Linked DNA regions of Mus musculus. The protein of the gene in region 1 purifies or fractionates together with the protein of each later gene. This does not show direct contact. Links are inferred from orthologs where the notes say so. Each region holds a gene or a part of one and is shown in the gene's direction. Other genes may lie near its edges.

Region 1 (5,101 bases):
TCTGTGTGTCTATTCTATTACAATTCCTCCCTCCTGCTGGCAATTCATTCTGGGCAGAAATCTCAGCCTCGGTTACATCTCTTATGGCATCCGGCAGAGACCATTTCCGTGACCTGCTTATAATCACATGCCATATTGCCACTTTCAGAAATTACAACATATTCTCTAGTCCATCAGCCTCCTTGGGGGCTTTCCTGTACTTGAATCACAGGCCACATTCATAAAGGGGATATGCAACCATATACCATAGAGGAAGACAGCCACCCTGGGTTTCCCCTCCAAGATGTCCATCGGCTTCAGTTGCATGTCTTACTCATATCAGACACACAACTGGCACTACAGCAAGGAGGCACAAGTTCCCATATAACCAGAGAAGAGTAATCATATACGGATTGCCGAATGGATGTTCCACCTTCGGTTGGATCATGCACTGTAGCCTGTGTCTCACACATAGCAGAGGGTCATGTGACCCCTCCTCTCAGACACAACTTTGTTTTGTTTCTCCCGGTTCAGGCACCAATTGTGACTCCCCCCCCCCCCCTGGGGAGATTTGAGCAAGTATCTCTAATCACCTCATATAGGACTGAGAACAAAACAAAGAAACAGCCCTCACAAGTCCGGATTAGTTCTTTGAGGTTACTGACAGGTGCACGGATGAGGGGTTATCTGTAGGCGTGGGGGTGGTTCAAAGGCATTTGCATACCTGACAGCCCACTCTCAGAGCACCATCAATGACCTAATACTTTTCTACTTGGACCTTCTCAAAGTTGCCACCACATCTGCATCAACATACTGGAGACCAAGCCTCCAGCATCCGAATCTTCCGAGGTCAGAACCACAGGGATTGGGGCAAAAAAAAATAACAACTGAGCCACATTATAAACGAGTAAGATCTGACAAGCATTACAGAAGATGGCACAGACAAGGTGAACATTTTCTCAAGTGCGTAGAGAGGACACGATTTAAGTCTCTCTAAAAATTTCTAAGTTAAAATCATTCAAGGTATTTCCTTTCTTTTTCAAGGTATTCTTCTCTCATATATATTACATCCCTGACAGCAGTTTCCCTCTCTCCTCCCTCCCAGTCTTTCCCCTCCCCCCTTACTTCCCCCAACACCTCCCTCAGCCCCCTCCATCCAGTTCTCTTCCTTTTCGCTCCAGAAAAGAGCAAGTCTCTCAGGGATATCAACCAAACAAGGCATATCCAGTTGCAATAAAACTAGGTACCTCCCCTCATAAGGACTAGGCAACCCAATAGGAGGAAGAGTCCCAAAATCAGGCAAGAGTCAGAGACAGCCCCCTATCCCACTGTTGGAAGTCCTACTAGAAGACCAAGCTACATAATCATTATATATATAATATATATATATATATATATATATATATATAGCACCTAGGTTAGAACCATGCAGGGTCCCTAGTTGCCACTTCAGTCTCTGTGAGCGCCCCATGAACCCAGGCTAATTGATTCTGTAGGTTTTCTTGAGGTGTCCTTGACCCCTTTGTCTCCAACAATCCTTCCTCCACCTCTTCTGCAAGATTCCCCAAGCTCCACAGGATGTTTGACTCTGGATCTCTGCATCTGTTTCCATCAGTTGCTGGGTGAAGCCTCTCTGATGACAACTGGGCTAGGCTCCTGCCTCAAGTATAGCAGATTTGTTTTGCTATGGTTGGTTTGTTTGTTTGTTTGTTTGTTTGTTTGTTTGTTGTGTCTCTGGGCTATCCAGCCTCTGCTTCATGGCTCTCCACACAGTATCAGGAGTGGGCTCCCCGTCCTGGCATAGGTCTTAAGATGGACCAGTCACTGATTGGCCACTCCCACAATTTCTGTGTCACCTTTACCCCAGCACATCTTGCTGGCAAGACAAATCATAAGTAGAAGGTTTTTGTGGCTGGGTTGGTGTCCCAGTCCCTCCACCAGAAGTCTTGCCTGGTTACAGAAGATGGCCCGTTCAAGTTCCACGTTCCCTACTGCTAAGAGTCTTAGCTTACAAAAGATATTCTTGTAAGCCAAGTGTGAAGTTAATCACGACAACCAAAGGTTTGCTAACATAGAGGAAGAGCTCTCATCAATAGGGGAACAGAAAGTCTCAGCGACAAGCTTATGAAAGAATGGCTGTCTCAAGGGCTCCAGCACCCGACTCCGCCTGTCAGAGGATGGTCTGGCTCTTTCCACTTGTCTTCTGCCTCGGCTCAGGTAAAAAACGTCTGTGGAAACTGATTGAGTCACTGAGTGAGTTCCTTCTTTGGAATGCCTTGCTCCTCTTGGTCAGGTTGACTGCCCAGTTCTCTATTCAGAGACTTAGAAAGCTCACCGTGGTCCTAGCGAACTGCTTCCCGCAGACTGCCACGGGACTGATTCAGAGCAAACACTTCGGCTGGGGGCCAAGGGGAAGGGAAGTGTTTTCTGAGATATGGAAAATGAGTCTTTGTAAGTCAGGACTGTTCGTGACCAGCGTATTGTGGTACAAAAATAAGTTTAAGCGGGAAAAAGATCTACAATTTAACTACTGTGATACTGTGCGACTTCAGGGGGCTTCATTATCTTTCCCGAGCTTCACTCTTCGCTCAGATACTGAAAACCCACCAACGCTTTCACACTGCAATTAGGAAGGGATTGACTGAGCCTGCTTCTTCTCCCTGCTATCTGGAAAGCTCTCACTGTCTTTAAGAACTCAGAGGGTGCCTATCTGGACTGAAGCGTAGTGTTCTAAAACAGGAGATCAAGCAATGGCTACTAACACAGACCTAGCCCCGAGAGAATTCATTGAAGAAAAAAAAAAAGAACCAATAGGTAGCCTAGCATTTATTTTATTCCAGAAAATGAGCTAATTATTAAACATGCATTACATTTAGATGTCCATAACGTGTTTGTGAATTTATTCTATTAATAGCTACAAGTAACTTAGACTATGGCAATTTAAATAACTTTTGAAAATTCTATTAGTCATCAGGTAGCTGAAAAAAACCAATAAAAATAAAAACAAATCACTTGACTAAAACTTTCAGTAACAAACACCTGTGTGCATGCACACACACAAACCAAGACATACTGCAGATATAGAGCTATCTAGACAAATTGACAACAGAAAGAAAAAGAAAGCAAGGTTCATTAAGTCATTTGATAAACCATTCACTAAATGACCACTGAATGCACGGCACTGTGGGCGTTTCAGGAACTAAGTCAACACAATTTCTGTTCTGCGGAATTAACGTCTTGGCAGGGAAGATAAACTATAAACAGGTAAAATGTGCACTGGCTTAGGACAAATAATCTTGAAAAAATAAAGCAAAGAGAGAGGAGGGAGAACATTAACGTTGCGTCGTAGGCTGGACAGTCAAAGATAGGGATAGAATTAGGATGGAGGAGCTGACACAGGAGGAAGGTCGGCTCCTTTTCTGATCTATTTGTTTTATGTTATCAATGCAATGGCCAAGAGGAAATTTCCTGGAAGCAGGTGGAAACTGAGGCACAAGGCTAAAGCTGGGAATAGAGACTACGTCAAACTAGGAGGATTAGGAATGTGGACAGAATTTTGGAAAATGCATAAAAGATGCAGAAAAAGATGAGAATTCTTTTACTCCCATCCATCCACGTTGCCTTTTCTTAGCCTGATTCCAGCCAGTGACTTGAGCTTTTAACCTCACTCTGTTACCTCTATAAAGCTGGATAATTTCTGGGTGTCCCTCCTCCACATCTCTGAGGATTCTTCTTTTAACAAGACTGTGACATATCGGGCTCGGTCCCCGTGTGCGGATGTGGATCAGAAGAGGAAAACAGAGCCTAAGTAACAGTTTACTGCCACACAGCTGTGGGGGGAGGGCTTGGAAGAAAAGAACACAGTTGACTGCATCTGCCAGAGAGAGATGCAGGTGGCCAAAAACCCCTCAGTGGAGTGGAACCGTGCTTACCAGGGTGGAAAGTGGAGAGTCTGGTTCCAGGGCAGAAGTAAGCAGGGACACCAAAAATAGGAGAACCTCTCTGGACTGGGTGTTGAGGAAGAACTTTCTGGAATAGGTGAAATGATCTGAGACGTTAAATAGGGAAGGATTCTAATAAAGAAGCATGGGAGGGAGATGGAAAAGGGGGAGGGAAGAATTCGGAGGGATTGGGGAAAGACAAGACCACTGGGGCAAGTTTGTAGGACAAAGAGATGCTCTCTGAGAAGAAGGAGATGTCTCACTCACTACAAGTTTTCAGGTAGGTGAGACACATCCTGATTCCATATGAGAGTCTCAGCTCAAAAATAAGCCATATTGAAAAACGTTTGTGTGCATGTCCGGGGTTTACTTGTTCCGTGTGTCTTTCATGACTTTTTCTCTGCCTTTAGTTTTTAAGACCGGACTCTCAGTGAACTTGAAGCTTGTTCATTTGGTGGGTTGACTGGCCAGTCAGCCCCAGGGAACCTCCTCCCCAGTGCTGAGATTAGAGCAATAGATCAGTTCACTTAGCTTTTTACTTGGCTACTGGGATCTGAACTCAGGTGGTCCTGCTTGTGTGGCAAGCACTTTGCCAACTATGCATTACCCCAGCCCGCTTCATTCCCTTTAACTCATTCCCTTGGAGGCAAAACTAACCCATCCACCATGTGATGTGGCAGTTGCACTCTTCAATGCACAGCAAGTACGCTTCTATTGCCTTGCACAAGACTAGGCCTAACACCATCCTGCCATGTAGGATGACCAATCCTTCGTGTCAAGACCAGTCAGGCCCACCCCTCCCTCAGGACTTTGAAGTGATTAATGGCTGGTTGGGGAGGATGAGACATTTTCCTAGGTAGTGTGGCCACGTGTAAGGTGTCCTTGCCTCTGTACATAGCCCTTTATCTATGCTCCTCTAAGTAACCCGAAGAAACTCATTGGCTTATCAGAAAAAGAAAGAAAGAGAGAGAGAGAGAGAGAGAGAGAGAGAGAGAGAGAGAGAGAGAGAGAGAGAGAAAGGAAGGAAGGAAGGAAGGAAGGAAGGAAGGAAGGAAGGAAGGAAGGAAGGAAGGAAGGAAGGAAGAGTAAGACTGAATTAACTCAGAAGAAGGAAATCAAAAGGTGTGGGAAGGGGTTAAGAGAAAATAAAGAGGGTAAATAAAATCAAAATATATGTGTGT
Region 2 (5,239 bases), on another chromosome or scaffold:
TCTCTGTTATGTGATCTTTGTCTTCCTGTACTGTGGGTACAGGGACAGGGAAGGAAGAAAGCTATTTCAGTTCCTCTATTCTCTACACTTCAAGCTCTGTGTGAAGTTTGAATTTGCCAAAGTCAAGCTTAGTGCCTGCATAGCAGCAGAGCAAGGGTGTCAGTATTTTTCATCAACACTGCACTGGTGGGCTGGCTCACCTGTCAGTTTGCTTGTGAGATGACAATAAGGTAGTGGATGTGAGAGTTGTACTATTACCGTATAATTTAACTGTTCTCTTGTGATGTGATTTTCGTTGTGCTGAAGCCCACTGTACCTGGCTGCTTTGACAAGCGTGCTATTTTAGCAATGCAGAATGAAACAGAAAGAAAAGAATGCATGGGATGCTTGCTCCGTCAGATCCAGGTTTCTCTGTGCCTGTGTTTGTAGATGATTTGTTCAGGGTTGTTCAGAGACAAAAAAAATGAGGTTAGGTTTTGTTTTTAACCTATGGAACACTGAATGTTCTAGCAGTTACACTCTAGGTGGGCTACTGTCCGTATGCCTTAATAAAAGAAGATTACCCCTTTCTTTCTTTTCATATTTAAAATGCCATCATTATAACTGATTTCTAAATAGAGTCCTGGTTAGGCTAAACTCTGATGTTTTTAACATTGATGTAGGTAGGCATTTATGTATGAGAATAGAAGTTACAACACATTTATCAACACCTGTGCGATGATGTAAAATGGATTTTATATCCACAATGATTCTGGCCTAGCCCCATATGCCAAAGGGTATATAGAAGTTCACACAGGACACCAATGGACAGACCAAACTGGACAGAAAAAGCCCACAAACCAGCAGCTCTACAGGAAGAACTACAGACAGCTGAGTAAAATCGGAAGTAGAAGAAGTGGTCACCCGTGGGAAGAGCACACTAATTGGTCGTCTACTACCAAATGGCTATCCCTGAAAACATACATACAAATAGCACCATACAGGCACAACTGGATGTGTTTAGGAATTACACGTATATACATATATGCATGCAATAATACAATAATACAATAGCAATGTTGTTGAAGAGCAGGGAGGGATTCATGGGAGGGTTTCAAGGGTGAAAAGGGAAGGGAGAAATGCTGTGATTATATTGTGATTTTAATAATAATAAAAACAAAGAAGTACCAACAAAAGAATTTAGTCTTCTTAAGCTCCTTAGCTAGATCCATCTACACTTTTTTTTTTTTAATATGATGACAATTTTTTTCATAGTTTTGGATTTTGGACAAAACATTAAGGTAAAAATACTTGTTTTGGCCTAAGTGTATTCAAGGATTTGGCATATGGCTTCGGGATAGAAGACCTCATCTGCGAGGCCCCGAATTCCATCATCAGCATTGAAGAAAAGAAAGCTGTTTCAGGACCATCTAGTCCCAAAGTCTGTAGTTCAGTAGCCCTTGGTGATGCTGTGGAAGCCTTGCAGCCATGTTCTGCTGTGGTTTTGTAGCTTGACTGCTTTTATGCTTTTATTTTGTCAGTCTGCTTCTGCCCCTCATGATGAACACGTCCCATTCACTTCTATCACCAATTCTTTTGTTCACTCGTTAAGACAAGTCATTGTCAATGGCTTCGAAGTTTGCAGGAACTACACAAGAACAAAGGCACTAGCAAGTTTCTCATCTTTGTGCAAGCTCTGTTTGCGTTGCTGGCACAGCTCAAATACTGCAAGTGTTCACCTTTTCAGCGTGCCCCCTCCCCCACCACAAACCTTTGTTGGAGAATAGATGATCAAACCCATGACAAGTTTGAAGCTGTTAAACTGCTGAGCTGGCCTGAATTGAAGTGTGAGAAGAGGTTTTAAGGCAGGTAGACAACATCCTGTTGTTAGGGTGTTTCTCTCTCTCTCTCTCTCTCTCTCTCTCTCTCTCTCTCTCTCTCTCTCTCTCTCTCTCTCTCTCAATACTGCCCAGTAAGCCACTGCAGCGGCAACAGCAGCAGCAAAGTTTCCTTTTTACCATCCTTCTTCTGGGCCCATCAAAGAGTTTGCTAGGCATGGATGCAGTGACTGTGTACCACGGCAAAATCAGCAGGGAGACCGGGGAGAAGCTCTTACTCGCTACCGGGCTGGATGGAAGCTATCTGCTGCGAGACAGCGAGAGTGTCCCTGGCGTGTACTGCCTGTGTGTTTTGTGAGTATATCTCGTGGTAGTGGCAGGTTGTTAGCATGGGTAGCCTGCCCTTTCAGGGGAGGGCTGGGAGGAGTGGCAGGGGATGACAGCTTTTGGCAGAGGTACCTAGGGAATACAGGCAGCAGGAACTGAGTACTCTTCCAGCTCTGACGTATGGTCCCAGGGCTCAGCCCAGGGATGTGGTGGGCAGTACTTGTACGTACGTCCCTCACTGCGGATTTTATCAACTGCATTTCACCAGTGCGTTTGTGGCAGCTTCACTGAATACCCTTCAGAATGGGAAAACATGGCCTAGAACTTACCTTTACTTTGAGAAAGACCCATACTCTGGACTTCGGCTCTGATTCCAAGTAGACACCATGATGGTGGAGCCCCGGGAAGTTGGACTATTTGTATTCTGGGCCATGAAGTAAGGCAAAGGAAGGTCTTTCTCTATCATTCTCTACAAATGTGACTGAAAATGGTACCCTAAAAGAAAAGCATCTAGCAAATGCTTGAAGAAGTGGTTAGCCAGGAAATGGAATCCATTGCTTTCAGAATGCAGCCCAGGGAAGGCAGAGGTAGACAGATGTGTGTGAGTTTCAGGTGACTAGCCTGGTTTTACATGGGCCGGTTCCATGCCAGCTAGGGCTACATAGTATAAGATCCTATTAAAAAACAGTAGCCAACAACACTAAAGCAGTACAGTGCTGAAGAGGATGTGTATGCAAGAGTAGGGGCACCTTTCTGGTGCTGCTGAATTGCCTTGTTTTATAAGAGGCATAATGAGTTTTAAAACGTGCTGTGTCCCGTAAATGATAGGAGTGAGAATAGTTTTAAAGAACAGAGAGAGGGAGAAAACATCATTGTAATTATCCCACTTTGAGCTTTGCCTAGACTGGTCTCAGCCTCTTACTCCATTTTGAACCAGGTGCAGCTGCATCTTGGCTCTGTACAACCTCCCTGAGCAAATCCTACTGTAGTCAGACTCAAAAGGTTGTTATCTCACAACACCAATCTCTTAGCCATTGATTTTAAATGGGATTCATATTCTAAGGGTCAATGAAGATTAAATACCTCCATGTACAAAAAAAAAAAAGACAAATGAACACTGGGCTTGACGCTCAGCAAATGGAAGTCTGGTTTATTATTAGTCTCTTTTTGGACAAATTATTCCGGTACTCCTTGAGGCAGTCTACAGAAGGACCCAGTTCAAGCACTACTGTAAGCAGGATATATATATATATATATATACATATATATATATATATATACACACACATATACACACACATAATACACACATACATACACACACACATATATATATATATACACACACACACACACACACATATATACTGTATGCTTATACATATATCCCAGTAAAACCTCACTCTAATACAGTAGAGTCTACATGAAAGCAAAACAAAAATGCTTGGTAGTGAGTTCTGTACATGATGATACACTGCAAAAATTTGACGTACTCTCTGGGCCAGAAAATAAAGATTAAATTGAGGCTGGTGTGAGAGGATTGTCATTGTATATTGATTTTTTTAAAAAAATGTCCAAGCCTTATTTTTGTCAGTTTTTAAGATCATGCTAAATACATTTATCATAAAGGCTTCAAGGTAAATATATGGAAAAATCATTTTTCAGTGTTGGGGACAGGATCCAGAATTTTATATGTGCCTGAAAAATGCTTTTTTATTAAGCTAGATGCCCAACCCTGGGCTTGGACCTTTATGTTCCCAAGTGGAACCCTAAGAAGGGCTAGGGAAGCCAATGACAATCCTTAGTTATTTTTAACTTGTCAAAAGATGAAGGATGGTGAGTGAGACGGGCTGCTTTGGGCACACTGATAATAGAAGGAGCATGCTCCTTAACCAGAAGGTTCACATGAAGCCTATATAGGGGAGAGAGGGCTGGAGACAGTACAGCTCACACTTGAATTTTTCTTCCCACCTGGTCACCCCGGAAGGTAACTAAGCCTGCTCCCTACTCAGGATTGTCCAGTTTCTGTTCAACATTGCATCTCTTGATCATTCCCACAAATGTAAGTGCCCTCTCTGGGTTGCTATCCCATTTCTTCTATTCAAGGAACTTTAAACATGCTAATATAAGTTTGTTTACTTATATATGGGCTCTACCACGAAACTACCTTCACAAAGGAGCAAACATTGCCTCTACCAGGACTATATCCTGGTACATAATAGGCACTCAGCAAACAGTTTGGAATTCGACTAACTGTTCAGGCATATGCTCTTCACTATGAAGGGCATCTGGCTGCCAAGAAGCCAGGGTGGGGGCTCTAGGAAGTCATTCAAATTCTCTGGGGCTTCACCTTACATCCGTGTAAAATAGAAACCTGTTGTTTCCTCTGTTATAAAAGATGGCTGTAAGTGAAATCTTGAAGAGAAGGAACCTTAGTATTTTGGTATGTAGGCCGGAACCATGTAAGGAAATTCTCAGCCTTCTGGTTTTCACTCACCGGGGATGCTGTATAAATGTAAGATGCTTGTTTGTTTGTTTTTTGTTGTTGTTACTGTTGACTAACTTCTCTTTGAAAACCTCTCCCTATGAAAATAGAGAAGTGGAGAATTCTCCTCCAGTCTTTAAAATGATGGTCTGTTGTTTTCAAGGTTATGGCCAGACAACTGTGGAAGGAATGCTTTTCTTGCCTTTGATAAGTGCTTCAGGGTTTTGTTTTGTTTGTTTTGTTTTGTTTTGTTTTGTTTTGTTTTGTTTTGAGCTGAGTGCCCCTTTTGCTACACACAAACATTTTATTCTCTCTTATTGGCACTACATGGTACGTGCAACATGTTATTTGGATCCTAATCTACATTCCTTACTCAAAATACTGATTTGTAGGATTTAGAGTAGAAAAAAAAATCATATATGCTTGAAAAAAACCCACAATAGTGTCTGTTTAATCAGTACCACCTTATTTTATGTTTTGTTTATTCTCATTAACCACGAAGGTTTTTGTAAACTTCAATTTACTCTATTTTTATTGTATGGTTCAAACTATGCTTAGAATTGTATTTTCAAACCATATGTGCCTCTTTCCCAGATTAAATCTCAGTCAC

What was found.
Region 2: the proteins of Slamf6 (region 1) and Sh2d1a purify together in Homo sapiens (co-immunoprecipitation; 5 studies listed by BioGRID and IntAct, with this or other methods). This does not show direct contact. The link is inferred for Mus musculus from reciprocal best matches to the Homo sapiens genes SLAMF6 and SH2D1A.

The regions. Positions count from the first base shown.
Region 1 is NC_000067.6:171,915,597-171,920,697, forward strand, and holds the start of Slamf6 (SLAM family member 6 isoform 2 precursor), read left to right. Parts: upstream 1-1,865; 5' UTR 1,866-2,111; coding exon 2,112-2,196; intron 2,197-3,655; exon of another isoform or gene 3,656-3,760; intron 3,761-5,101. UniProt on the Homo sapiens protein: Self-ligand receptor of the signaling lymphocytic activation molecule (SLAM) family.
Region 2 is NC_000086.7:42,500,689-42,505,927, forward strand, and holds the start of Sh2d1a (SH2 domain-containing protein 1A), read left to right. Parts: upstream 1-1,876; 5' UTR 1,877-2,034; coding exon 2,035-2,171; intron 2,172-4,131; exon of another isoform or gene 4,132-4,204; coding exon of another isoform or gene 4,205-4,206; intron 4,207-4,633; exon of another isoform or gene 4,634-4,657; coding exon of another isoform or gene 4,658-4,659; intron 4,660-5,239.